Oreochromis niloticus: one gene and its partners. The protein of the gene in region 2 binds, or shares a complex with, the protein of the main gene of each other region. Links are inferred from orthologs where the notes say so. Each region holds a gene or a part of one and is shown on either strand. Other genes may lie near its edges. The genes, in order: timm21, timm23a, timm17b and timm17a.

The links.
Region 1: timm23a (region 2) and timm21 share a complex: the UniProt entries of both Homo sapiens proteins name them as parts of the TIM23 complex. The link is inferred for Oreochromis niloticus from reciprocal best matches to the Homo sapiens genes TIMM23 and TIMM21.
Region 3: timm23a (region 2) and timm17b share a complex: the UniProt entries of both Homo sapiens proteins name them as parts of the TIM23 complex. The link is inferred for Oreochromis niloticus from reciprocal best matches to the Homo sapiens genes TIMM23 and TIMM17B.
Region 4: timm23a (region 2) and timm17a share a complex: the UniProt entries of both Homo sapiens proteins name them as parts of the TIM23 complex. The link is inferred for Oreochromis niloticus from reciprocal best matches to the Homo sapiens genes TIMM23 and TIMM17A.

Annotation. Positions count from the first base shown.
Region 1 is NC_031974.2:20,962,528-20,970,101, reverse strand, and holds the start of timm21 (mitochondrial import inner membrane translocase subunit Tim21), read right to left. Parts: upstream 3,021-7,574; 5' UTR 2,827-3,020; coding exon 2,538-2,826; intron 2,127-2,537; coding exon 2,064-2,126; intron 1,979-2,063; coding exon 1,881-1,978; intron 1,756-1,880; coding exon 1,682-1,755; intron 1,579-1,681; coding exon 1,473-1,578; intron 316-1,472; coding exon 223-315; 3' UTR 1-222. UniProt on the Homo sapiens protein: Participates in the translocation of transit peptide-containing proteins across the mitochondrial inner membrane.
Region 2 is NC_031973.2:8,934,319-8,941,589, forward strand, and holds the start of timm23a (mitochondrial import inner membrane translocase subunit Tim23), read left to right. Parts: upstream 1-4,260; 5' UTR 4,261-4,644; coding exon 4,645-4,750; intron 4,751-4,869; coding exon 4,870-4,928; intron 4,929-5,023; coding exon 5,024-5,117; intron 5,118-6,078; coding exon 6,079-6,163; intron 6,164-6,253; coding exon 6,254-6,312; intron 6,313-6,502; coding exon 6,503-6,613; intron 6,614-7,271. UniProt on the Homo sapiens protein: Essential component of the TIM23 complex, a complex that mediates the translocation of transit peptide-containing proteins across the mitochondrial inner membrane.
Region 3 is NC_031984.2:10,675,409-10,683,002, reverse strand, and holds the start of timm17b (mitochondrial import inner membrane translocase subunit Tim17-B), read left to right. Parts: upstream 1-4,575; 5' UTR 4,576-4,635; coding exon 4,636-4,661; intron 4,662-5,880; coding exon 5,881-5,980; intron 5,981-6,064; coding exon 6,065-6,128; intron 6,129-6,259; coding exon 6,260-6,388; intron 6,389-6,575; coding exon 6,576-6,686; intron 6,687-7,361; coding exon 7,362-7,447; 3' UTR 7,448-7,594. Other genes in the region: gpkow (G-patch domain and KOW motifs-containing protein), read left to right, coding at 231-316, 410-541; pqbp1 (polyglutamine-binding protein 1), read right to left, coding at 1,009-1,159, 2,136-2,193, 2,279-2,497, 2,677-2,777, 3,041-3,152, 3,250-3,316. UniProt on the Homo sapiens protein: Essential component of the TIM23 complex, a complex that mediates the translocation of transit peptide-containing proteins across the mitochondrial inner membrane.
Region 4 is NC_031970.2:6,728,651-6,735,853, reverse strand, and holds the start of timm17a (mitochondrial import inner membrane translocase subunit Tim17-A), read right to left. Parts: upstream 3,003-7,203; 5' UTR 2,883-3,002; coding exon 2,857-2,882; intron 1,735-2,856; exon of another isoform or gene 1,608-1,734; coding exon of another isoform or gene 1,597-1,607; intron 868-1,596; coding exon 768-867; intron 483-767; coding exon 419-482; intron 63-418; coding exon 1-62. UniProt on the Homo sapiens protein: Essential component of the TIM23 complex, a complex that mediates the translocation of transit peptide-containing proteins across the mitochondrial inner membrane.

The DNA of each region.
Region 1 (7,574 bases), on a different chromosome or scaffold from region 2:
ATCAAGATCACAATCTAGTCAAAAAACAAACATTTATAAATTAGTAGCATGGGGCCACGTGATCCTTTGATCTCTGCTTTGCAAGGCTCTACACCAAAGCTGTAATTGTTTAACAGCCTCTGACAGTATGTGAAGGCAAATTCTCCAGCTTTTCTGTCCAGCAGCACATCTGACACACACTCCTCATGCTTCCATAACGCTGAATCACACGTCTTATGGTCCTTATCTGTTATCTTCCACAATAATGGTCCGTCTTGGGTAGACGTCCATGTCCACAAATATATAACGAAACTCATATTTTCCAGTTTCAGGATTCTGTAAAATCAACAACAAGAAGACTGGTTGATTAAACACATATAAAAACATCAGCGATGTGATGGCCATCACATATGAAACTAGGTGAAGATTTAGGAATACACACAGTGCCACTTACTGGGGATTTATGCTTCAGTGTGAAATCTACCCATCGAAGCCGTTTTGTAACTGCAAAATCCTCTGAAACTATGACATAACCTGACATGCACATGAATCTAACTACATGTCACAGCCCGCAACCACTGTGATTGGTCTGTCCATTACAGCCGATTTCTTCTGTGCATTTTTGGCTACTTTTTTTGCAACGGCTTTTCAATTTAACTGTGAGAGAATAACAATCACTGCCTCAATATGGGGAATAATAATTACAACATCAACATAAATTTACCCGTAATACACCCGCACAAGCATAAACGCTGGCAACAACGAGCCTACGATAGGTAGGTTACATTGTAGGCCCCACAAAAGCATCTTTTCCACTAGGACCTACTCGGCTTATCTCAATTTGAAAATTACTCAATTTTCTATTAGTTGGTAGTACTTGTTACTAGGTACTTTTTGAGTACCTACTAGTCTGGATTTCCAAGCGAGCTGAGTCAAGCTGAAAATATGACATCAATAGACCGCAAGCCACTGATTGAGCAGCGAGTGACATCACTGGGTGAGTCATGAGAGCAACTCCTTCATAAGAACACAAACCAACAGCGTGGTCCAATGATGAGATCCAGAGTTTTAGCGTCAGTTTGGTAGCAGGTAAACAATTGGCTTGATGCCCTCCTGTGAAGGAGGTGTGTGGAGGGGTGGTGCAGTGGGCTCGAGGGCAGTGGCAGGGTGGCTGGCTAATTATGCTCTCCCTATTTAGTGATGCCAAAACCTGGAGTGATGAGTGCAGTGCTGGTTCACATCTCCATTTTTTGCATTGTGTTTGTGTCACATACAAATAACGCCATGGGACTTCCAGGTCGCCTTGCTACAGTGACCCCACCTACATCGAGGTGGTACTCAAATATGATTGAAAATGACCGAAACTGAATAGAGCAGAGTCGAGCTGAGTAGGTGCTAGTGAAAAGACACAAAACATTCACCGCAGAAGTGTCAATCAGTGCTTGTGCATGTATGTATTTCATAAGCTGGCTTTTGAATGGCAGAATACCAACCTCTTTAGACTCTGTATGCACTGTCCCCTTCACTCCCGGCTCCGAGCCCTCAATGTAAAACTTAAGTCTCATATGCTTCATTCCATCCTTCAGGTACTCGATATGACTGAGGAGAAGAGACAAAGACTGCCATTATAGATGTTAAGGCTACCTTAAATAAAAGTGGGCTTTGTTGCTGAACTTGTTTGACAAATTAACAAAACACCAACCTGACTTGCTGCCTCCTTCCTCGACGGGTGGTCTCCCCGTAACATTTGATTGGCTCACCAAATGCACCAATCACCTACATTTTCAATAAACAAGAAACTTTTTATATGACCTCATAAGATCATCAAGAGGACCTTAAATACCGAACTGTAACATTGTCAGCCTGGCCTCATGTTTGACAGTCACTAATATCGCTCGTACTTCTGGGTGTGACTTGACTTTATCGAAGGCTCTTCCATACACTTTATTTGGACTCGCGGATGAAAACAGCTCTTGGAACACCACATACAGCAGCCCACCTGAAAACACACACAGACGTCATTTCAAACAGGATGATGAATTGCCTGGGTTATGACTGCAGCTTTTAAATTCCACTGTATTCACCTGTCACTCCAAGCCCGATGAGTACCACGATCAGGTAGGTGAAGTCCCTGCCAGCTTCTTTCACTGGAAGGCATTCAGTGTTGAGGGTTATTATGCAACAGCTGTGCATAGTTTTCATTTAAATGAGCAAAGTTAGAGTCTCACTAATTAAGGCAAGTGTTTGTTCAGTTATTCAGTAAATAAACTCCTGGGCCATTTTAAGATATTTCCTCTGCTGCTGGTGATAATCAGAGCGATTAATTTCCAGATATAAGCTATAAATACAATAATCGTGTATTTTTTAGTCCCAAAACTGCTGCTGCAGTGGGATAAATCACTGCTTGGTTAAATATACTATATTTTCTCCACAGTGCCTGCGAACAAAGCCTAATGGTATGCTTTGAAAATAGCAGGCTATCATGAAACTACGCTGCTAATATCTGAGTACATATATTAGCACGACTTAAATCCTTTTTATTTCCTTGCCTTGCATACCTTTTTGTGCAGCTGAAGGCTTTGGACTCCCACTCTGGTACTTGGACACTGACCTGTCTCGGTCCTCGGGGCTGCTTTTATTTCTGGCTGTAAAGTCGAGACAAATACCCCGCCGTCTGTGTGTTTGTATTAAGCAGCTTAGCACAGGCGAATTAGCCTCTAGTCCACTGTGTAAGGCCAGTCTTGATAATGTTGACACTCTCCTGTGCGTCTGGATAAGCACTCTGACCTGTGGTGCTCTGTGCTGCAGATTTCGGTGCAGGACCTTCAAAACCTGAATATAAGCCATGATTTGATTTGAGCAAGCCCCTTCCTAATATCGCAAAACTACACTAACCAGCCTACTGTGTGGTTTAAGTAAACAAAACGGACTTAGTATACATGAATTCACAGCTCACAGCACTAAACTACTCCAAAACACTGGGCAACAGGACTGGGTCAAGTCAGTCGCCGGATTTGTGCTTCACCGGCGCACAATATTGCCGTCACTCACCGTTAAAGCGACAGAGCAGCAGTGAAACGTCACTCGCTCGTCATCATCGTCTACAGCAAAAACGTCTTCAACAAAATAAAATAAAAAGTCCGAAATCGGCTGAATAGTCAGGTGATAAAAAAAAATCTTTAAGAAAAAATTTACAGTTACAACTAGAGAATGCATTTCCTGAAGAAATTGCAGTATAAGAAATATTTGGGAACCTTGTTAAATTTAACTGACATACACCAAATCATTCACCTATAAACCAAAGTGCTGAACTGTTGAAAGCTGAAGTTCACACAGACGGCGAAGTTTCAAAGTTGGAAAGTAACTGAACATCTTCAAAATGTACATTAGAAAAAAAAAACAACTGAGTAATGACCAAAGAAAATTTAGAGTCAGAAAAAATCTGAATTAATATTGAAATCTCATATTCTTTAAATCACTTTAAGAGTGGAATTATGTTTTTTAAAGGTCTAAACATAAGAATCTCAAATTAAAAAAAAAAATCTGCAAAACATCTGCTGTGTGTGTGTCTGTGTGTGAGTTTCAGCAAGTGAGTGAATTACCATGTAAGAGGGACATCAAATGAGCAGGTAAATTAGTTTTTAATAGGTTTTTTTTAGACCCTTTTAGACGTTTTTTTAGACGTTTTGCTACAGTCTTCACACAATGGGAAGTGTGCTAATTATGAATGTATTTGTCAGTTTTGGAGGTAAGTTGAATTTATGTGCCACAGACACTGACAAAATCTACTGCAATTTACTTCTGACTCCATGCGCTCTGACGTAATTTCATACTTCAGTTAATGGTTGTCATGTCCAAATGGTCCAAATAGACTCTGGAGCATTAGAAGAAGCTTTAGAGTAATTTTTCAGAAATTAGAAGTACAATACAAAAGGTCAAAACCTCTACTGGGAAATTTGATTGGAACAGGTTTTGATTTTATTCACATATTACACAGATGTGTTGCTGGCTGAACAGGCTCGGCAAGAGCAATGCCGTGCCTGGCCTATGTTCAAGTATCATTAAAGTTAGAGCTTGTAAAATCTCACCATTAGATGTCAGTAGATTGCAGATTCCAGTCAAGTGAATTCACTTTTCTTATCCCTCCTAATTCAAGTCTATAAACCAAGCTACAGTAGCTCTGCTAACTCTGGTAATGCTGACTGTCATTCAGTATATCTTTGTTTAATCTCTTTATTTGCTTTTTGGACAAGTGAAGTTACAAAAATCTCTTGAATCATATTTACTTTGGTGGACAGAAAATAACCTTTGTAGACTTTTTGGGGTAACTTGTCAAAATGTAGCACTTTAGTATTGATTTTTCAACAATGAATTTTCTGCTTTTAGCTGTATTTAGCAACCGAAAATATTATGGCAACACTGAGAAGACAAATCATTAACATTGTGTGGTCAGGAGGTGTAGGTGTTGCTGTCTTAGTTCTCTCTCTGTAGCAGAACTTGAAAAATCTGAGTCAGTTGTCCTGACCAGTTCCTGTCTGAGGTTCAGACCATCAAGAACGTAACTATAATATTGAACCTGAAGTATGATCTTCCTACCCACCAGGGAACCGCTGTGGGTTCAACTCCTCCTGCTGAACTCATAGAGCAGCAAACCACCAGTCCAGAGACAGACCCTAATGTAGCATCACTTTCATCACTCACTCCTGAACTCCTGTGAACCATAACAAAGGTGGCCTCTCTAAACATCAGTAACTAAGAAAACATGGCAGTAGGTATCCTAGTAATTAATGACCTCATTATTTAGGGTATTATTATTATTATTATTATTATTATTATTGTTGTTGTTGTGCTTTACACAGAGGTCTCTCCCTCTGGACTGTTTAAAGGGCCAGTTTACATCCTGTCAGCCTTCAAATTTATGCATTAGTCCCCTCCACCATTGTTTTGCTGCTCATGTTCACATCTACAGTAAGAAAATGGAGATAAGCAGGCAAATAATATAAAAAGACGATGCTGCAGGGTGACTTTCTGTCTTTTCTGATTCACCAGCTTGTATGCATCTTTTCACAGGAGTGACTTAAGGACACCTGTAGCCTACACTTATCTACTTATATGATAAATAAAGTTTAGTGTAATGTAGATAAAGTGTTTTCCTTTAACTTGCATAAAGTATTTCCATGGAGACCGTTCTAGAATTCTGCATTAAATAAATAAAATAAAAATAAATCGGACTTTAATTTAATTTAATCAGACTTTAAAAATAGCTCATCTGTACAAGAGAAACCATTGAGTTCAGAGTTTTTTCTTTCTGCATTTCACATTACACAATTTACGCAATTTGGATGGTATTTGACAGTTTTTGTTCCCGACTGTGATTCAACAACAACATTTCAATTGAAGCAAGTAGAGGAATCTACAAACCCATCAGGGTATGTGACAGTTTTTTTTCCTTCTGCATTTTAGCAGTTTAAAGAATTTGATGTAGTTTTAAAAGCTGACAGACTGAGAATAAACTTAAGTAACAATCAGTAACTTCTTATTTCTTTGACAGGTGCTGTTCATGTCGAACAACACCTGTCAAACACACATTTACGACATGGCTGTGAAGATCTGCTGGCATCTTCTGGGCTACAGGGCTCAGGTAAGACTGAGATCCATCCAAACCAAAGCTGATGTAAAATATCAGGTGATTTCTCAGGACCTGAGAGTGGTGATGTTTAAATGTCTCCTTTTATTTTTAGATTGCAATGATGATGGAGTTCCTCAGACTTCAGCAGGAAAGCAAAATCCCATCACACATCACTGCTGAAGACCTAAGAGATTTTTTGGTGGAGAAGAGCAAACAGACACTCAGAGAGCAGTGAGTAACTGTGATACTGACCATCCACCTCAAACATGACAGTCTGTTTGTGATGAAGTGTAAATGCTGAGAGAAAACCTCTGTTTATTTTCTTTTGAAGGCTTTGGGAGTTTGAATTGGGGGATTTTGGAGACAAAGAAGCCAAACCTCTTCTGAAACTAGTGAGACTAGAAAACTCACAAGACTTGTAGTAACTTGGAGGTTTATTTATTTTGTTCACATAACATCTAAACAAAACTGCACTGTAAATGTGTTTTCTGTTTCAGGTGTGGGCAGTAAATGCCATTAATAAAATTTTCCAGAACCACATTTCCAGAGTCCATACCTCCTAAATTTCAGTGAGTTACATCTGACAATTATTAACAGTCCAGCTACAGTTTCTGTGATGCTTTACACATGTTTAAAAGATCATTCTTATAAAATTTTTCTACAGAACAACTAAACTCCTCAGCATGGTGAGAAATTACGTTGAGATTCTTAAAGAGAAGCAGCAGGTACGGCATAGCTCCAAACTGCTCACTGCAAGAGGTGATAGAGGTAGTTCCCCGCATCTTACAGGGCTTCTGGGAGCTTCCTCCTCGCCCCCTCTTGAACATGGCCTCCCAGAGTTTGATCATACTCTCCACCAGTGTCACAAAGGCCACTTTGGATCGTGTCACTAAAACTCTTACAGCGATGGAAAGCAGGCCACCGTGTCACCATTGAAAGGGAAATAAACAGGTTTTCCAATGGTGTAAGATTTATTGCCCCAAATCATTGTTACAACAAAGAAATTTTCAACCAAAAACTAATTTGCTACTTTTTTACATAACACTGTTCTCTTCAGGACTTTCAGATATGAAAAGTATATTTACGTGGATTCACCTGTGTTTGCACCATTTTGTTATGAGCTGTTGCATTTGTGGACGCCAAAGAGAAAACTTTCATAATAATGGCTGGATACTCAGCTGACTATACCTGTCTTCCGCATGTAGCACAAGCGTTTACTAGTATAAAGCTGTAGAATTTCAATTTACAAAGCCAGTTACCAAAACTGTTCATGCTTCCATGAACCATTGAGCAAGGCATATTGCTTGATAGATGCTATTAGGAATGCTTTCAAAAGGCATCAACAGCACAAATGCAGTGGATATCATTCACAGAACAATGTTTTCAAAAAGGATGTAAACATTTTTATTTCTGCTGTTATTATGTTGTTATTATTATGATTGTAGTAATTTGACATTTTAATATGTTTTAAATGAGACAAAATTAAATGTTCACACTTCAGATGTTTTGGTAAATCCAATTTTTTATTTGATTGGTCACTCGTAACTTTTTATGGGTAAGATGTTATAATAACCTGGTTCACTCAGAGACGCCGTCTCCTAAAAATCTTCTTTAATTGAGTTCAATTCAATTCAACAGTATTTACATACAAATGAATTGAACTGAACTGAATTCAAGAAAAAAACCCAACAATCCCCTATGAGCAAGCACATGGCGACAGTGGGGAGGAAAAACTACCTTTAAAAAGGTTCAGGGAGGGGCGGCCATCTGCCACGACCGGTTGGGGGGGGTTGGAGCCGATAAAAAAACAAATTACTTGAAGTAACTGTTAATATTTAGTTGTATATTACTGTGATTTTATAGGAGACGGAGTTGAAGTCAATTAAGTGAATAGTCTCAAAAACCATTTGCGCTTCTTTTTCATTTTTGGTTTTTCTTCTGGCATGTTGTCATCTCAGGCCTCTGG
Region 2 (7,271 bases):
TGGGGAAAAAACCCAAGCTGATACTTAAAGACAAAAAGCAGGGAAAAGGGCCAAAACATGTTTTTCCCACTTCTCCTTTTTTTCTTCTTCCTGTGTTCTGGCTCTCTGTCTTCCTCTGTTATTTAAGTGGACATTGCACACATTGATGTGTGTAATAAGAGAGAAGAAAACACCCAGCTCACCATGGTTTCTCACAGGCATGCACATGTATAACAGAAAAAAAATAAAAGTGGGGGGGGGGGGGGGCGTGGGTTTCAGGTTTGGAGGACGAGATGGCTGGGGAATTGAAGGGAAATTGATTGTGCAAGCTCGCCCTTAAACATCTGCAGAGTAAATATTCCACATGATCACGGTCCGTCCCTGAAGCCCCAGAAAACCACAGCTAATAACCCACATGCTGTGTGTCATGGTAGCTATTGCTTGTTTTCATTTAAACAGAGAAATTCGAGCCTGTCGACACCTGTAGTTTAAAAAGTTCTTTTTAAAACTGCAGATTTAAAGTTTCTCACACGCAAAAAAAAAAAAGCAAAAAAAAAAGAATCACATGAGGGTTTTTTCTGTGGTGAATGAACCCGTGGGTGGCTCATTCGCCCTCTCCCTGCCCTTCCTGCTTTCATTGTGGAGTCGGGGGGGGGGGGGTTGATATTGAACTTCAGGCTTGGAGTTGAGCCTGCACTGTGGAGGCAACCCCACTGATCACAGAGAGAGAGAGGGGACATAATGTGACCACTGCTGACAATCCTCTGGACAGGAAGAAGCAGAGTGGAAGCACTGAGTGGACATAGCAAGAGAGAAAAAAGAGAAGAGAGAATGTGTGTGTGTGGATAGAGATGGGTGGGGGTGCGTGCATGTCTGGATGGGTGTGTACCCTTGTCTTCATTTTTCCTGTTTTCACTTGAGTTTTTGTGCTTTTTTTTCATTCTTGTTCTCTGGTATGAAACACTCTTTAAGCATCTGGTAATGTATTCTGCAGTCAGCGCTCCCCATTGCCAACACTGGGGCCCAGGGCTCCCAGAGCTTACAATCAAAGTGTGTTAGTGTGTGCATGTGTGTGTGGGAGAAAATGAGCAAAAAGTGAGAAGGAAAGACAGGTTGATTTACATTGCTATGTATGCACAGCATTCTCCACATAATGAACAGCCCCTGATTTCCTCTGCTTGGTAAATATTTGATGACTGAGCGGTGGAATGATTTTAGCTGAAATTCAGAGGACTCCTACAAGCTGCTTAAAAGTTGTATTTCAAATCCCTCTCTCTCTTTCTCTCTTGTCCTCTTCCCATGTAAATAAGGCCAACTCCCCCTAACTCCACACACCCTTCTGAGGCAGTTTAAAGACCCAACACTGTCTCCTTGTATCCTTGGCAACCAGCATACACTGGGGTCCTGTCGTGGCCTCTCTGTCTTTTGTGTTTGGGAGCTCAGAGAGACAGAAAGAAAGAGAGAGAGGGAGAGTAAGAAGAGAGGAGAGGAAGGAGACGAAAACAAGACTTACTGAAAAAGACAACAAAGATGACATCACCGCTATTTTATCCCACAACTGAAAATTTGGTTTGTAGCCCAACGGTGATGAGAATGATGATTATGATGATGAGTAGCCAGAGGCACAAAATGGGTAGCAGCTCAATCTGAGAGAGAGAGAGGGGGGGGGAGGAGAGAGAGAGGGGCCCAGGGCTGAATGGGGCATTGTGGGAAAGACAGTGGGCACACTGGGCAGTAACACAGAGAACACTAACTCACAGATCATGCCAGAGAGTCTGAAAACACCCACACTGGGCGACAATGGCAAACTTCATCGCTCCACTTGGCCCCCTCTGAATACACACATACAATGGCAGAATCCAAATAAGATGCTCTGTTATTCGTGAAATTCAACACACTACATTCCTTCAGTGCCTCCATCCCTTTGGACAGCAGCAGATGGCCTGGTCCGAGCTGCACTGAACGTGCACGTCATGTGTTGCATCACAGGTAGGGCACCCAGCTGGCCTGAAAGGTGTGACAGGTGTCACGTGGAAGTTGTTTTACCTCCCCGGCTCTGCTTCCCTGCTTCAAGTAAATGCAAATGGCGTCATGCAAATTTAACTTGTATGTGCCACCACTGGGAACAAATTTAACTTAATCAGTTAATTAAATCAAGCCTAATTAGAGCGAGGACCGAGAAGGACCAGAACCAGCAGGTTTGACCCTCTGCAACTGGTTTCATCTATACGGTGGGCTCTCTGCTGCCACCCTGTGTCGAATGTGAGGAATTGCACCTCTTACTCGAGAAATATTTGCAATAAACCGAACAGGTAAGGAGATAAAAGACAGGAAAATAAAAAACCCACAGCATGCGTCAGCAGGAGAGCTGAATTCGTTATCTGACTGAATGACTAGTTCCAAGAAAGGTACGACAATGAGTCTTGATGGGGATTTTTTTTTTTTCACAATTTCACAAACTTCTGATAGAAGGATTAGATTAGAAATAAAATAAGTAAAAGTTGCAGTAACGCCACAGAGATCTATGAGAATTAAATAATGATTAATAATCATGGGGTTATCTGTTGTACTAATTTGTTTTATTGCACCATATGTCAAACATCTGAAATTCATCTGCTTCATCTGGATGTTATCAGTCCACTCAATGGATGTGAGTCTCAGACAATGAGGCCTACTGATTGGATTTTTAAGACGTTTCAGTTTTTATACCCATTAAATAAAATGAAGTGTGTAGTGAGTATTTTGTACATAAAATAATTGTTGGTATATTTGTAATTAAAGTATTTTTGAAGCTGACAATAGAAAAATCATGAGGTCAAACTTGTTTTCAAGTGCAAGAACAATATTGTAAATTTACCAGTTTATACTGTATAATCATTATTACCAGGAGAAGCAGAATTTTAAAACAGATTGTTCCTCTTTCTCTTTTTTATTATGTTTTACCATTATCGACATTTTCATATAATTACTTTTACTTACATGGAATATATTCTTGTACCACCAATGCAATTTCTATCTTAAAAACATTCTATATCTGCTTTTATTATGCAAGGAATCGTGAGGCTGCAGAACAATATGGATTTATCCCAGCCAATCAGCAAAGATCAGGCTATGTGACAGATAATGACATTATTGCATGCAATCAATCAACAGTGACCTGGGGCATTTCACACCTCTGCGTTCTTTCAGGAAATTGGGTTTTTCTACCCCTACCTACTCTCACACCCGCGGTCATAACATTGAAACTAACAGCGGTAAGTTGTTCTATTTTTTGTGGCATAAAAAAGGTAGCACCATATTTGATCACAGGCCCTGTTCACCTGAAACTAGTGCAAGTAATGGTAAGAACATTTTTTGACATACACTGGATGGATCTGTGAACCGTACTTATTTCGTATTACAGACATTTTCAGGCTATAATAATTAAATATGAGTAATTTTATGGGTTTTTTTGCTTTGTTTTTGTTTTTGTTTTGTTTTGTTTTTTTACCTTTTAGCAGTTTTTATTATACTTAAATTGCATACATTGGTGTTTATTTTCCCTGTTAGTCTTATTACTGCTAAAAACGATATAGTAATTCAATATTTGTGATTTATTTTGATTTTGATTTCATTACAAATCAAGTCAATATTTTATCATTTTGTTTTTGGTAGATCTTTTTTTTCTTTTTTCTTTTTGCAGTGGTCTACTTGGCTCTTGTATGGAAGCTTACCCATTCAGTACTATGCAAGAGAATAACATAACATATTTGGGTTTATACAAAACTGTGTGAATGAACTTACATTAACTTAAATCTTTGAAGAAATGTATAAATAATTTGCCAAATTATCTTACTTGAGATTACAACAGCTTCACCAAGTACCATGAAGCAGGTGGCTGTGACTGGTGATATGCAGGTTTGTGTGTAAATATATAGCATAATAACCACATTGTCTTATTGGATACTACTACCTTACAGTAGTTTCACAAAGTATCATAAAGCCTGTCACTGGTACATGTAATATTCTGATTCATCAGAATATTACATATATTATTATATTATATGATCTCTATAGGGTTGAAATTCTGAATTTCCATACCCTATAAAGGGTTAAATGGATCTCGTGTCCACAGTTACCCTGCAGTCAGTTTTTTTACGCTCTGCCTGGTCCTCAAGTTTGCCCTTTAGTTAAGTCAACAGATCCCAGATCCGTTGAACTGTCGTAAAACCGTGGTTTTATTAACGATATCAGAAAGATTTTTTAGTCGACTTATCACTAATAGATAAGCAATAGTACGAACTTTTGGTGTTAAAAACAAGTCTGAGCCGATGTTTTCTCTCATTTTTCACAAGTTACTGTGGGTTTTGTTGACGTAACGACAGTGCAGCACCGGTCATCGCTTTACGGCGGAGCGTGCTGCTGGAGGTCAGAGGCATGACGATAACGCGAGATTGGTAATATCGAAGCAAAAAGACGTAATTTTCGCTCTAAAAATCCAGCAAGACCAACAAATACGACCTGTGTTGACGTTTCCTTCTGGCAGTAGTGAATTCAGGAGCTCGTCTGATATACGTTTGTCTAATAGCTTGAGGGTTTCGACATATCTTGCTAACGTTAGCCAGTCGGCTACTGTAGCAACTCCCCTTCAGCCTCCTGTTTGACTCTCGGAACATTTATCCAAGCATGGATAACAACTCACAAGGATCGGGGGGAGTTAAAGCAGGCCTGGGGAGTCTTTTTGGAGGGGGTGCACCTCAATACTCCAACACAGAGCTTGCAGGTGTCCCACGTAAGTGTCATGCAATCTAACTGTGATGCTAGTTACTATTACATTACTTAGGTGTTGCTGTACTGTCATTCAGTATCTGAAAAATCAACTCAGTGGATAATTGATCGTTTACATTACAGTGACTGGAATGAGCCCTTTGTCCCCTTATCTCAACGTGGACCCACGTTATCTGGTTCAGGTAAAGCTGAGTCTGTCTCCTTTTCTTTGCTGTGAGTGAGAATGTTTTGGATTTTTTTTTTTTCCAGGCATGAGTATTTGAATCTTGTGTTTTAGGACACAGATGAATTCATCTTACCTACAGGGGCCAATAAGACAAGAGGAAGATTTGAATTGGCTTTCTTTACCATCGGAGGCTCCTGCATGACTGGTAAGAAACTGGTACACTGACAAAACGGGTTTAGTGCTGAATATGACTTGGAAGCATGTGCAAATTAAAGTACTGTATAGTACAGACTAAGTAGAAGTATGTTGATGTCCTTGTTTTGTCTGTCCAATTCATCTACATTTTTTCCTGTTGAGAGCGACAGCTGTGGTCAGAAGATTACATAAAGGTGGAATGATTGCACTGCATACATCTTTAATGAAAAACAAGATTGAATTTATTTTTGACAGAGTCTAAATTACACATAGAGGCTCAAATATAATATACCAACTATTATTTGGTTAGCAAGTTCCACCTTGATCAGATGCTTTTGGTTTCCGTCAATAAGCTTCTGGCATAACTGTGGCTGGACATTTGATGACACTTCTTGGCAGAAATGATAGTTTATTTGTTGTTTCCCGCATGGACCTGGCTTTTAAGCAGAGTCTGTAACTTTGGAACATATTCATGTTCCATTCACGGATATGTTCATATGGGTAACTGCAAATTTAAGTCGAGCTTGAAGGTTTTTGGAGCAGGGGATCTTTCATGGTTGGCACTTTCTCAGCCCATGGTAATGTAAAACTGGCTTTTACATTGAATTTGACTTATGGACAGTGAGGCTGGTGTTTTGGTTTCCAGTTCATGGTAGGCTTGAGCCTTGGTGGTTCCTAGGTTGCTCCTGAACGTGCTAACCAATTTCCTGTCATAAGGGTGACAGTTTTGGTCATCTTCCAAACCTTATGTTCAGCTATGTTTAAAAAAAACAAAAACCAAAAACACAAGAGACAGACATAAAGTGTGGGTATAGAAACACAAATGCAACAAGAACACACACACAGTTAATGGCATATAAATCTGTCAATGTTATTTATTAAAACCAAAGCATGATGCAGGTGGAATAGTGTGAAATAATCCTTTGACTGACCCTTTGTTGACCTTTTCTGCATCCTTGTTTGAAATGCAGGGGCGACATTTGGGGCATTAAATGGCCTTAGAATGGGTTTGAAGGAGACCAGAGACATGGCATGGTCCAAACCACGTAACGTACAGTAAGTTTGGTTACAGAATTCAGTTTATCGAATGGTTTTACGCTTGGATTTGGGTTGCACGTTGTTCAAATGTTTATCTTCCCTCCCCAGGATTCTCAACATGGTGACAAGGCAGGGCGCTTCATGGGCCAACACTCTGGGCTCTATTGGTAAAGCTTTATTGTTACTTAAAAAAATGATGTAGAGGTGTTACTGTAACAAGAATATCTATGAATCCCATGGTTGGAAGATCTTAGTGTTACTGATTTAAATGGATGGATGTATTTACAGGATTTTTAGTTTTCTAATTCAGTATATAATCATAATTTAATTATTTTGTTTTTCTTTATGTCACTGCAGCCTTGCTGTATAGTGCTTTTGGTGTTGTGATAGAGAAAGCCAGAGGAGCAGAAGACGACATCAACACAGTGGCTGCTGGGACATTAACGGGGATGCTCTTTAAATCTGGCGGTTGGTGTCTTTTCCTTTTTTCTGCTTCTACTTTATATCTGGCATTAATGTATATTAATGTACCTCTGTGTGTTTTTAACCTTTTAAATATTAGTTTTTACCAATAAATGATCCAAACATTAGTTTTAGCAAATATCAGGCTGTCAGCAAGCAAAATGGCATTTACCAATGTTGGTGTTCATCAGTTATTTGTCATTTATTTTGCTCTGCAGTTTGATAAAGACTGAAAATTTCTTTGGTTCTTGTTTACAAAATGGGTGACAACATAAACAAAGTAAACACAAACATGTATGGAAATGCTCAGTTTTTTAGTTAAGCCTTGCCAGTACAGACTTGGACCCCAAGTCTGTACTGGCAAGCTGCCTTAATTGTTGCCTTAATTGTTCATGGCATCGATTCAGCAACGTGCTGGAGATTTTGGTCCACACTGACATGATAGCATCACAAAGTTGCTGTGCATTTGTCAGCTGCGCTTCCATGATGACTCACCACTTAGGTGGTCTGTTGGATTGAGATCTGGTGACTGTTGCCATTCAGCTGGCAGATTAGACAGTTGCGTTAACAAGCAGGTGAGCAGGTGTACTAAATAAAAGGGCCAGTGGCTGTTTTAAGTTGTCAGTTAGCAGACTTTTAAAATCCTATTAAAATGATAGTTTGT
Region 3 (7,594 bases), on a different chromosome or scaffold from region 2:
GGCTATAGTGGAAGCATTGGTTGTTGTCCTGAGAGGTCGGTCTGCTGACTTAAATCTGACAACCAGACTTCCCAGATTGGGGATTAATTTGATTCTTTTTCCTTTTTGGTTATTAGCAAACATAAATGTCAGAATCTGCTGGCTCTATTCCTGAGTGCTGCCTAGTTGGTATTACTGTAGAATTTCTTCAATGAATGACCCAGCGTTTCTTTTTTCTTTTCTTGTGGCAGATGTGAAGCAGGACATGCTGGAAACTATTGTCCCAAAAAGTGAACATGATTCTGTAATGGTGGTACTGGGTGAGCACAAGGGAAAGGTGAGCAAAGTAACCTCACTGCTTTACATATATATATGTATTTGTTTAAATCTGATTAGCTGTTACTGATCACTATTTTCCCACCTGATTCAGGTTGGCCGTATTCTTCAGCGGGACAAGAACAAGTGCAGAGCGATGGTCCAGCTCGACAGATACGAGGATAAAGTGTTCACATTAGACTATGACTCCATTTGTCACTATGTTGGGGCAGCAGCAGACCACTGATTTCGGATGTTTACTGTAATATTCACTGTCCTTTTTCCATCCACTTCATCCCAGCTGTTTTATTTTTTTTCATTATTCAAGTATTATGGACTTTAAAAGATTTCAATTTTGTAATAAAAACTTGTCAAGATTTTTTTTTCCTTGTACATATGGCAATGCAACAATTGAGAAAAAGCTGCAACAGATCATTTTCACAGTAGTCTTAAGTTTATTATCATGTTCACTGATAGGTCTAGTAACAATGAGAAGTGAACCTTTGGGTCATATAAAAACATATTTACAAATGCTCTACACGGCAGGAGTATGAATAGAGTAGCTGTCCAAAAAGTTCAGCCTTTCATTTCTGACATGTACACATTTCACAATGAAACAAAAGCCTGTCAAACTATGATGTTTAGCATGTGAGCATAATGAAGACCAACTGTAGAGTTGTGGGTTTTAAGATGCTGTCTTCATGGTATCTGCTTTTACTCCTTGGGTAGTTGGTTTGCTGCGTTAGCCCGAAGAACAGCTCCTGGACTCGGGTACGGACGCTGCTGGAAGAGAGGCCCCGCTGCTGTGGTGTCTGCACCCGTTTTTGCTTCATTGCGTTTGGGCAGCCCACTTGACCACGACCCCCTGCAAAAATGAATACGTTTGTGTTTTAACTGCATTTGTAATCAGCACTACAATGTCTTCTGTGGCTGAGAAGGGGTTTTGTCAAGCCTGAGAAAACAACCTTGATCAAATTGCAATGACAATCTCAGCTTTGTTTTAGGAATATTTTTAACAGAAACCCTGGAGGTGTAGATTTTTTTAATAGACATTTTCACAGCAGAGAATTTGGCTCATGGTGGCAGGAAAACTGCAAATGGGGTAAATTTAGTTAATGATGGCTACAGTATGTTGCATTTACAGCAACAATAAGACTGACTGCACATACAAGGGGTATGGAACTAGCGTGCTGAAGTAGTATGGAGCCATTCTTTAAGTTGTTTTTATACCTGTGCTTTCTCTGACATGCCAAGCCAAAATGCTCTTTAAAAAAATAAAGTGTATGGCCCCTTCCCAGTGTTCACACGTTCCCACTCTGAGGGCTGAGAGCTCATAAGGATATGAGGCCTTTCTACAAGTCTTTATTTTATGCTTAAGGGAATAAGTGAGTTGTGATAAAAGCTGGTCAAATTTGGTCAAATATTAAGGAAATGTGCTACAATCCTGTATATATTTTCCTCTTTAGCAGAGCATCTTTTATGAAAATGGGAGGAAACCTAATCCAGTTCACTATGAACATTATGCTACTGCAATAAAATCTGCCTCTTGTTGAGGTATTGTGCCTTGCATGAAATGTAGATTTATGTGAGCTCCGTAAACCAGGGATATCAACTTTGCTGATTACCATTTTGAATTTTGAGGGGACACACTCGAACACTGTAGCTGTGCTGTGTGAGGGTTTAGTTCTTTCGTCTAAGATAAAAATGTATGATGGGAATTGATTTGATCTGTCTCTCATAACTATTTTTTCAACAAGTGCAACACAATGATTCTGGCAAAATCGGAGTACCAGAGAACGACCCGTATATAGCTTATATCAAGGTGACCATCTGTACTGTACCTTGGAGCATCAGAGTAAGCACTTGGATCCATGGGGTCCATCTCGTCATCTTTTCTACCTGTAAAAAATATTAGGTGTTCAATATTTAATCATGTGAAAGGCGCCGATGTGTAAACATGTAATGAATCAGATGTAAACATTACCTTTTTTGCTTCGACTGTATGGTGCTGCCTCATCTCTTCTCTGCTTTCTTCTGTCTCTGTCCCTCCCATCATCACGCTCTCTGTCTCTGTCCCGGTCCCTTTCCCTGTCCCTTTCCCGATCTCGATCCCTTTCCCGATCCCGGTCTCTGTGTCGTTCTCTGTCCCTGTCTCTGTCTGGTTTCTCAACTTGCTTCTCGCCTTTTTCATCTCCTCCTTCTACTAAAAACACAAGTTAAGGCAAGGATCACAAGATTAGCCATGGCTGAAATCTGTCAAAAGCAAACTGTATTCTGAGATTGTACATGCAAAGTAACACACGTCTACTGTAAGAGGACTGAAATTGTGATCATTAGTGCCTCTTGAAAACATTACATTATAGAGGCTGAATAAAAGCATACCTCTTATTTTCTTGGCAGGTTTTGTTATTACTGCAGTTGGGTCATTTGGGGATAACCAGGCAACCATATCTGTCTCGACATTCCAGTAATAAGGTAGACCACTGTGTAAGGAAAATAAAACATTAGTGATTAATATTGTAACCACAAAATTAAATAAAACTTACTTAACAGTTTAAAAATACACTTTAGCTCTCCATGACAGTAGTTATAATGTTCAAGGAGAATTTGACTTCTCAAGAATAAAATGAGAAACAAGAAAGAAAAAGTAATTAGCGCATTCTGATTGTGAAGTTTATAATAATCATTTTGAATTAAAGTATAAAATTCTTATTATATTAAATTATAGTATATTAAGTGTACATACCAAGCAGAGTCAAACACTTTGTACCAGTTTGGTGGTAGATTCTCCACTCTGGTGGCTTCATAATCTACATTGTTGTCATCATAATCTTCAGCAATAATCTCCTCATCTGCCCCTGGATTAATTGAAGGGGAAAAGGTTTTTAAACAGCACAAAACATTAGGAGAAATCCATGAAGGACAGAGACCCAAATATGAAATCTGTTATACTACCTTGCTCTGTTGGTTTAACAATCCCTCTCTTGGCCAATCGGGCCAGCAGTGCTGGAGGTAAAGGCATCCTGAAAGACGGAGTCCATGTGAAACACTGTTCATATTACGGCTGAAATTCACTTGGGGTACCAAAATAACAGTTGCAGAACAAATGCTCATAACACATTATTACACAGTATTAAAATAGTCTTAGATTGGTCATAAATCAGATAATATAATACATATCATTTACTTTCAATAATATGTACCCTTTGATTAATTAGGACATATAGAAACTCATCACTTACACACAAACCACTGAGTCACATGTGGCCATAAAGTAAAATGCACATGATTACCACCATTATATAGTTTAGTGATCTTTAATATAAGCACATTTTGTAACAGTTTCATTACTTTAATGGGTTATTTTATATATTAGACACAAAATTGCAAGTCTGTTAATTTTGTTTTTTTTTAATCATCATTAAGTTTAATATTTTTGGTCCACTATTCATCTCACACTTTACTGAACACTTGGTTTTGAAACAGTTCCCATATTTACCTGTTTTTTATTCTTCATCTTCTTCTTATTATTATCATTATTTTGTTTTGTCCATTTTCTCTGAGGACATTTCTTGTTTTCTGATAAGCGGAGATTATGCCTTTACTGTAATAATTCTATCAACAGCAGCTTTAACACTGCCCAGAACCACATTTTTGCAGCAGACTTGTCACGTCTGTAGACCATCATTTCCTGCAATACATTACAGCTGGCTGTTTTGATGTCGATATCACAATGATATCCATGAATTGTAGTTTAAAGCATGCATCCTGGTAGGTCTTAGAATGACTAAACTCCTGAACTGTTATGTGTCCTGTCATCATTTAAAGTAATCCTCTGCTCATAAAACTTAAAGTAACTTCACAATCCTAATAAATAAATCAGTTTCTTAGGTTATATGGCCATCCTACGTGAATTCCAGGTAAAACTTTACTAGCTCCTTGTCTTATATGTATGTCCATATATGTATTTACATATATACACATACATATATATATATATATGTTTTCTTTGTAATAATTTGTACCATGTACAATACGAAATGTTTCCTTTAACAAGAAACTAACACGCTTGCGGTGCATCCGTGGCTGCAGATGTAAGAATAACGCAATAAACCAAACTATGCGTCTCCAAAAAGCATCCACACCACACAAACACAAATGTTAACCTTTACTTCAAAAGACTGAACAATAAGAAATAATTAAATTCTTACCTTTTTTTAAAAAAAAGGTGGCCCTTTTTTATCGTCAAGCTAACGATACCTCTTTCCAAAACAGCATACACGGCGCGCTTAATGATGACGTAATCACGTCCTCTTGACGAAGACGACGACGTAAACAGACATGGAGGAGTATGCCCGAGAGCCCTGGTAAGATTAGAATTTAAGCGTTTGTTTTTATTTTAGAACTAATTAAGTTGGAGTCAAGTGTTGACTTTTTAATTTCATACTCAGTTTTGATGTGAGAGTGAGCAGAAAGGCTCTGTGGGTGTTGCGGCCTGCTTATTTAAGGCATATAAAAAAGATAAAGCTGTTATATGGAGGCGCCCTCTGCACACACAATAAGCTGGTAGAGTCACCTTTATCTGAAAATGTCGCTGTTTTTAAGTGACAGCTGGAGTTAGGATAGAAATTAAAAATAGTGGGTATTTTAATCTCAAAATATGGTTCCAAACAGGCAGTACATGAAGCTTTATTTATTTATTTATCAAGTTAAGACACACCTCCAGTCAAGGTTGATCCCCTACAAGTCAAACTTTAATGACAGAGTTCAAAGGAACGGGATAAAGAATCCAGATATCAGCCACTTCATTAGGCATACCCGTCCACCTACTTATTAATGTAAACCTACATTCTGTCACTTGGCAACAACTTAGTGCATTTAGACATATGGACATGGTCATGACGCATTGCTGAAGTTCAGGCTGGAGAAGTTCAAACATTTGATTTTTATTGATTTTGAACATCACATGATTGTTTTTGCCAGAATGGCCGATCTTTTCAATATTTTCGAAAATGTTTAACTACAGCCTTTTCCCCACAAAATAATTTCTAGGGTTTTATAGAGAACAGCGTGAAAAAGAGAAAATATCCAGTGAGCAACAGTTATATGGTTGAAAAAGCCTTGTTGATGTCAGAGATCAGATGAGAGTGGTCAGACTGCTTTGAACTGAAGGCAGCAGTAACTCAAATAACCACTCCTTACAACTGAAGTGTGCAGTATAGCATCTCTGAATGGACAACATATCAAACCTGGGCTATGGCAGGAGAATACTAAATTGTCACTTCCCTTCTCCCCACCTCATTAGTTCTTTCACTGCTGTTTGACATATTCATTTATGATGTTTGATATGTTTTCTAACACAAACATAACTCAGAGGTGAGTATTTAGTTATATTTAAGGAGCTAGTTCTTCATCCTTGGGTAATATACATTTCTCGGCCAGAACTGTGCCCATATTGTCTTCGGCGTCATCCAGACCCCGATAGATAACTTCTGCATTTTGTATATGTACTGGATGTTAGTTGTCAGATATATCCCCATTGTCAGTTTTCCTGTCACATAAATATCCATTTCTCTCTTAACCCAGCCCCTGGAGGATAGTGGATGACTGTGGAGGTGCTTTCACAATGGGTGCAATTGGAGGAGGGGTGTTCCAGGCGGTCAAGGGCTTTCGAAATGCCCCTGCTGTGAGTTCAAAACACAGGTTTTTGTTTGTTCTCTGGCTTGTCAGGTTGTTAAAGGCAGAATTCAACTGAGCTCTAATATTTCAGGGTGTCGGACACCGGCTGAAAGGGAGTGCAAAAGCAGTGAGAGTTAGAGCTCCACAGATTGGAGGTAAGGAGTTCCTGTTTTTTGTTACACATGGCAGTTAGTTAGTAATATACCATTTTTTGTGTAGATTAAATTGTTTAGGTACAGTTAGCTTCATACAAGTAGCTGAAGTCTGGTTACTTCTTATGTTGCAGGTAGCTTTGCTGTATGGGGAGGGCTCTTTTCCACAATCGACTGTGGTTTGGTTCGTCTGAGAGGGAAAGAGGATCCTTGGAACTCTATAACCAGTGGTGCGCTGACTGGAGCCATCCTAGCAGCACGCAGTAAGGAGCTCATTAGCTCAAAAGAAACAAGACACCACTGTGTCTCTCTGTGTCAGTAAATACAGCCCCAATTCTGAAAAAGTTGGCACGCTGTGTAAAATGTAAACAAAATTCCAATTTTTTTTACAATTGGGTTTCTACATTGGGATAATTAGTGTGACTCGCTGAATATTGCATTTTTCTTCAGGTGGACCTCTAACAATGATGGGCTCTGCAATGATGGGGGGGATTTTGCTCGCTCTCATTGAGGGTTTTGGGATTCTCCTAACCAGATACACAGCGCAGCAGTTTCAGAACCGTGAGTGAAGTTAATTATGTTTCAGAAATGATATTTAAACTGCACAGAACCAATGGTTTATCAGTAGTTTAGCAAAATGTCACATGATTAAATGTGTGAGTGGTTTTATACCCCTGTACTGGCGTCCACTCCTCAGTTATGGCTGGACTTCGGCATAGGGCAACATTTTTCATCTCACTGGTCCCATTTTTACTCACCCTCACCACACTCGTAGCATTTTTTGTTTCTATCAAAATGTTTTAAAGAACCTGAGGAAAATCGTCCACTCTCTCAAGGTTCTTGTGCAGTTTAATTTGTGTTTCCTGTTTGATTAATTTTTCCCAAGAACACAATTTCTCACAATGTTAATGATATAACAACTTATAAAAAATGCTGAAGAATGTGAGACTATTAAAATAGTTTTTTTAGTGTTACTGTGAATAACCAGTCAAATGTATGAGCATCAGGTTTCCTCCAGCACGGCTCAAGTTAGATAACCTGCTGAGACATATCTTATTTTGGATGAGATGAGCCGAGGGAAGGCTACCAAACCAAAAAGCCTGAAAGCACAGCAGACCTAGACAGTAGTAATATTCATATAAATGTTCCTGAGGGAAACATAGATTATATCTTGATTACATGCCAGTGAAGCATGAAAAACTGACTTTGTTGTGTCTTCTTCCTTGATTTCTCCAGCAATTCCCTTTGCAGACGACCCTAGTCAGTTACCGCCAAAGGATGGAGATCATCAACATCAGGGGCAAAGGGGGCAGTTTCAGTAGAGAAGGTTCAGGACTGAAGCCAGCTGTGGACAACTGAAAGGATAATAGGAATGCCAGCACATGAACAGCATCTACCAGGATGACCAAGAGGTGGAGATACTGGTCCCTACTGGATGCTAATACATACCTCAGGGACAAATTACTGTT
Region 4 (7,203 bases), on a different chromosome or scaffold from region 2:
TCGCACTTTTACTAAACCGCAGTCAATCATGGAGAAGAGGCCTCCCCATACTGCGAAGCTACCTGCAACACGCCAAAGAAAAGATTTGCATCAGCTGAAGTTATCAGTGAAGATACGCTTGTCACTTTGTTAAGCAATCACCCACGTCACATATTTACACAAGTGACTTCTACCACTAACACACTTCAACAGCAAATAAAGTATTAAAAATTCTGTACACAGATTATGCCTTCGGGCTCCAATAGCAGCTTATTTAATTAAAGGATAATTACTTTAATATACGGAGCTGAAATATTTCCCAAGATTAACTTGTCACCATCGGAACTGCAGACGATGTACAACATGCTGCTGACTACAGCCCATGCTCTTTACAAAGGAAGAGAAATGACCTTTGAAACAGTTCGGCAATTGTTCTTACCCCCGAGCTGTGGGGCTCTGGTCTTGATAGCAGTTAAGCTACCCCTCATTCTGTGGCTCATCCCCTACATAAAAAAGAGAGACAAAAAACATGCATCAGTGGAAATTCACTGTCAGGTCAGGATTTCTGAGACCAAAGATTTAGAATTTTCAGATTATGATTGATAACATAAGTTGAAAAGAAAATGGTGCGTCTTCGAAATTCAGGTTGGGTTAAAAAGAAAATTTCCTGTTTACAGGGACAGAAACACTGCTTCATCATCAAGTGTTTTTGAGTGTGACACCGACCCCAAGGACAGTACCTTGAATGTCAGCTTTGACTGAGACCAGAAAACAGTCCTTGAACTTACCGAGGGTGCATTTCTGAAGCCTTTCACTGCCTGAAATATTCCTCCTCCAATAGCTCCCATGGTGAAAGCTCCCCCACAGTCATCCACAATCCTCCAGGGGCTAAAAGCAGAACACAGACATTTTAGTTTGCTTAAGTTAATAATGTCATGACATTTGAGATCTCTCATTGCATGTTCATAACAATCTCTTAATGTTCCCTGTAAGTCTAAATTAATCCAAAGGTAAAGGAAGAAGAACTAGTTTATTACTGGTAATATGACAATAAGATATAGGTCATCTGAATATCAACATTCGTAAAATCTAACTATACACACACAGACTTGGCCTTTGAGAGGGAGACCGATGTAACAGTGAAGCTGTGAAGAGTAGTCAGATGAGTTTAAATACATCCAAAAGCAACCAACAGTGCACAAGAGAAGTGAAGAAGAGATTCGGCAGGGCGGTGGTGATGGAGACTAGTGTCAGGGCTGATTTATGACAGCAAGAGTGAAAGGGAAGGTTTACAAAAGAATAGTAGTGAGACCTGCCGAGATGTATGATGTGCAGACAGTGGCACTAACAAAAAGACAGGAGGCTGAGATGAAGATGTTAAGATTGGCAGTGAACTAAGAGACAATGGACAGGATTAGAAATGAGTATTATAGCGAAAGCTCAGTTTAAACAGAAACTAAGTTTGAGAGGCAAGGCTGAGATGGTCTGAACATGTGCTGTGGACGGTTAGTGTGTACATACATACATACATTATATATGTGTACACACACACACACACATTTGACCAAAAAAAAAAAAAAAAAAAAAAAAAAAAAAAAAGAGATGCTGAATACAGACCTGCCAGACATGAGCAAAAGCGGAAGCCCTCAGAGGGGCAACGTAGTGGAGGAGGGCATGCAGAGGGTTGGTGTGACAGAAAACGATGCTAGGGATAGGGCGAGATGGAGGCAGACGAAGAAAAACACAGACACGCACACAAACACACAGGGTCACTCTCTGTGTCCTATTTTAATGACAACCTCTGACCCAGTGTAAAACATGAAGCATTACGTTTCAACACAAGGTCTGAGCAGTGAGGATTATACTTCACATGACCGCATCTCAAATTTAAACAAACACACTGCACGTTTACTTTTCACACACGACTTTATTAGAACAGGTTTACATAGTTAGATGGTTGCATTCTATGTAATATGACTTCTGGTCAAAATCAGGAAAATGTAATCGTTTATGTATGTAAAACTGGATTCTCCATTTTAGTCATAGCCATTCGTTTATGTTAAACAGATGCATTACATCTTAAATCACGAAAAGAACATTTTGCAGTGATACTGAAGGACAGTAACCTTGTGTCCCGTGTTTTTGACCATTAGTATCCGATCTTAAATTGTTATTCAAAGCTGGCCAAAATAATAAAAACATAAGTGGGAGAAAAACAGCGAACCAGGCCAACCTTTAACTTTTAAAAAGTTTATTTAGTTCACGGTTGTTATAAATTAAACCTAAACCAAAATAAGCATACACGAGGGCAGCCACCGGGAAAAAGTGTATGTAATTGTAAAAACATTTATTTTAAATCCTCAGTGACGTTGTTAAAAGTTCATAAACTATTTGAACAGGACATGTCTCAAGCTAGCTGGCGTCATAAGGCTGCAGTCTAGATAGCGCACAAGTAGCTAATCCAGCTAGCTTACTTGTGCGCCAAAGCAAAATAATACTAAAACAACTACTCCAACTTTTCCCGAATGGCTACCAGTATGCGTTTACAATAGATGTTATATGCCTTTTTTAAGCACCGGTTTGTGGGGTCAGTAAATTTAAAGCAATGACATGTGGCAATAAAACCGACAAGGTCACAACGTGACTTAGCCGTCCCGACGCAGTGCTCGCTCAAACTACCTTCACTTGTGTATGCGAAGTTAGCATTTCTGCTAACGACAGCTAGCCGGCCGGTTTCGAGGTGTTTCGGTCGTGTCACGTGATATAAAATAAAAAACATTAAACACAACTAACATGGCATGTATTCAAAACGCAGCCCACTGCAGTACACGCTGAAACAGTGCGGAAAACGGGATTAATTTTAATTTTAGGACTCACCATGGCTCTCTGGCATACTCCTCCATTTTGTTCTTTGCTGTTCCGCCTGACGTAACGATTATCAAACACCTGACGTAACGACACTATAGAGACAACGTCATGTCTTAAAGGAACAGAGCATGCAGGGGTGAAGGACGAGCTTCAGGCTGCCGTCCTGAGAGTTTATTAAAGTTATTACAGCCTATTTCGTAAAGCTATCCATAGAAATACCAAAAAATCTTGTAAAGAATGGTGTAAAGTAAAAAAGCAGAACTGTTCAATCACTATAGACTTATATTATACTTGAGTATTTTTAATTCGATGCTGTTTTCTCTTTTTTAACTGATATTGAAGCATCTAGATATTTATTTTGTCTGTTTATTTTGTTTTTATTTTGTCTATATCTTTCTTTCTATTCTATTCTGAATCAGCTTTTACTTAAGTAAAATTTGCTTAAGCCGCTTCAGATCAACTCTGCTGAGAATCATTAAAGCGATGACTGGGACTTCCAGTCAATCAATCAGTCAATTAAAACAGATTATTATGGATTTTAAAATCTTATTTGGTTTTCATATGTACCTATTTTCAGTGATATCAACTTTGATAGCAGGAAATGAACTAGGCATATAATTCTTTTCTTTCTCTCTTTTTTGCTATATTTTTCAAGTAACCTGTATTTGACAACAGTATAATAAAACTCAAAATTCAGTTTTTTTGTGTGCCACGCCAATGTTTTTAGTCCCCCCTGCCCCCATTGGCCAGCTTTTTAATTATCAAATAAGGGATACTCTGGCTTACCAGAAGCAAAGTGCACAACCAACTGGGTATAGTGTAAATATGCACTGTATGTGACATTGCAGGTAACGGTCTATATACGTGACATTTAAAGTGGAATAAGGGACAAACTAATTTTGCTTATTATACAGGATGTCCCGACTAAAACGGGACAGATGGCAACCCTACCCCCATATGGTCACCCCTATGAAAAAAATCTGTAGACGCCCCTGAAAACAGGTTCCTCAAAGGCAGGCAGATGTAACTAAAAACATAGCTTTTATTAAAGGTTGTTGCTGAAATCCAGAAATGCAAAAGTCAATGAGAAGACGCAAACTGAATCTAACAGCAGACAGGGAAAACATACAACATGACCATGGAATTCAAAATGCAAAGTTCAATGGAGTCAGGACTAGTTATACACATGGAAGGTAATCAGGGGAATCAGAAACATGAGTGTAATGAGACACTGTCCAACCAAATCAAGAAACAGGAAGTTAAACTAATTGCAAGAGACGAGATACAAAAGACTACCAAAATAAAAGAGGAATGAATAACTGAAATACTGAGTCAACCTAAGAACGCACTGAAGGGACTAAATAACTCAGTGGATACAGACTGTGATACTTAAACATAACAGGAACAGAAAGTGCAGCATAACAACACAAAACCTACACAATTAGAAACAATAAACCAGAGCACATAAAAATAAAAATAAACCCCACCTGGCTGCTGCCATCATTAATGGTGTAATAATTCACAGTTTGTTGTGAACAATTCAGTGGGGTATGAATCTTATTATAGATGTATTAAGCAATCCTTTGTAAGCAACACAAAATAAAGCTGTAAAATAATAAAAGGCAAAGATGGCACATTGTACTTGAGATGTTTGCTGATTCACATCGATAAGCAACATGAAGCAAATTAAAGGACAGCCAGACATGTATATGAGAGTTTTGACATTTCTATCAACAGAAGCAACGTCACACTGATCGCATAAAGCCTTATTTACAGCAACAAAGCTTAAAAAACAGGTAGAAAAACAATAGAACACCCCGTAATAAAATCTTTTTTTTTTTACATGTTCTGCAACACAAATAGAAATCTTCATAGCAAAATAACCACACTCTGCTGTGCTCCTAGTGTTTTCTTAGTAATAGCAATGCAATGTACTTAGAGGCCTTCTGATGGCACTGAAAACCAGTAATCTCAACATTTCATTCCTTCTCCTCTTTTTCTTCCTTCTGAGACTATTGGTCAGAGTAGCAGCTACAGCTAAAAGACAGAAGGCTGGCTCGCTGCCCATTATTAGGAACGAGAAAGGAATGACTTACAGAGCAAGCCCTCATTGAGAAATGACCAAATATAGGCATTTTGTGGATGCAGAGACTGAGGCAAGGCTGCAGAGAGATAAACTGGCCTGCTGCTGCTGCTCTCTTTTTTCTCTGGATGATGGCTACCTTTCCAGCTGGTGGGTGGACACTAGACAGCTCCCAATGTTTCCACGTAGCTTTAAACACATTATGTAAAGAGCAACAGATAGAAGAAAAGTTCTTCGTGGTCCACTGCAGAAGCACAGATATACATGCTACGAAAACATCCGCTAGTTGATATAATGTTTTTTGTCTGGTAAAGGTTCTGCCTTGTAGTTTTTTTTAAATTAATCCATCAAGAAATGCAGATACATAATAAATTTAAAAAATCTGAATCCATGGTTATTTCAGTAGTTAAACTATGAGACACGAGAGGCCTCCTGCTTTCCTGGAAAGGTATTTTTTAGCATATGGACACCGCAAGTTTCCACCTTACCCTAAGTAAGTTATTGGACCCCAGCTAGCCACAAAAATCATAGTGATGTCGTAAAATCCTGATGTGAGTACAAGCCATTGCATTTTTGAATGTATATACAGCTGTGGTCAGAAGCTTCCATACACTCATCATAGGCATGAATGTGATGACCATTTGGGGCTCATAAGGATTTCTTCGAGCTGCTCCTTTTCCAGGGTGGAAGCATCGTACAGCATACGTCTTTATTTACTTTAAAATGCAAGAATTGTGTTTGAATTTATTTGTAATTTTTTCTAATCCACACAGGGTCAAAATTATACACACAGGCCAAAAACAGACACAGACTAAAACCTTTTAATAAGTGCTGCTGAAGGTTTTAAAGTGTCTTTTAACTCGACAAGGCCGAGGTCTATTTGCTTCTTGCCAATGATCATGAGAGATTACGATTGGTAGTTCCTCTTTGTCTCCATAAAAAGCATCTGTTTGACAGCAACCACTGAATTCCCCAATACTCTGAATAATGGGAAAGTCCAACGAACTCAATGAAGTTCAGGAGAATTGTAGATTTATACAAGTTGGGAACGTTTCATGGAACCATTTCTAAACATGCCATCACCATTGACTGAGAGGGTCCCTGATCCAAAATCTACACCTTAAACCACAACTGAAATTTGCTGCTGACCCCATGGACAAACCAAATGCCTTCTGGAGAAAAGTTTTATGGTCAGACAAGACAAAGATTGAACTATTGTGGTACACTGACGAGAGTTATATTTTAAAGAGTAGAGGTGACCCTTTCAAACCAAAGACATCTGTACCAACTGTGAAGCATGGTGGCAGTGGTACTGGTACATTGCACAAAGTGGATGGACAAATGAAGAAGGAGGACTATCTCCAATTTCCTGAATTTCACCTCAAATTAGGAGCCAAAAAGCTGAAACTTGGACAAAGTAGGTTCTTTTAACAAGGCAATACTTCTAAACAGACAGAAAAACAAATAAAAGGCCAAACCTCAATCCTTTTGAAAATTGTGGGCAATGTTTAAAAGGCAGGTCTGTGCCAGGAAACCAACCAATTTAAATAAAATCTACCAATTCTACCAGTATTAGTCAAATATCCAGCTGGAAGCTTGCTGATGACTACCAAATGTGTTAAGGGACATTTAACCAAGTATTATTGAGGTATAAGTATATATTTGAGGCTCTATGTATAATTTTGACCCCGTGCAGACTTTGGAAAAATTAAAACTTGTGTACCCAGTTCTTATTTTTCAAAGAAATTAAAGCTGTGTGCTGTACAATCATTGCAATATGGATAAAGAACAGTTCGAAGAAATCATTAAAAGCCTGAAACATGCCCATGATCAGTGATGTAAACGTCTGAGCACATCTATATTCATACAAATATAATCATATGCACATATATATAGAATTAATGACATTATCATATACATAATTTGATTTATTGTAGCTAAAAATTATAATATAATAACAGATTATTAAAACATTCCAATCACTTCTATCAGGCAGGTATCATTAAACTTGCAAACATAGCAGAATCTTTTATTGAAAACATACAGGCTCTGTAAGAAAAACGTGTAATAATGTATGTGCTTCATTACAACACTCGGGTTTTTGCTAATCACATTAAATTTCCTTTAGAACTGATATTCACTTTTAAATAGCACATTAACCAACAGTAGTGTTGATTTAATGGTGTTTCTGACATTTTGATGTAAAACCCAGGCTAGAATGATTCTGCACAAAACACAACATCAGACGCTGAAACTTATCTTCCTGCACTTCC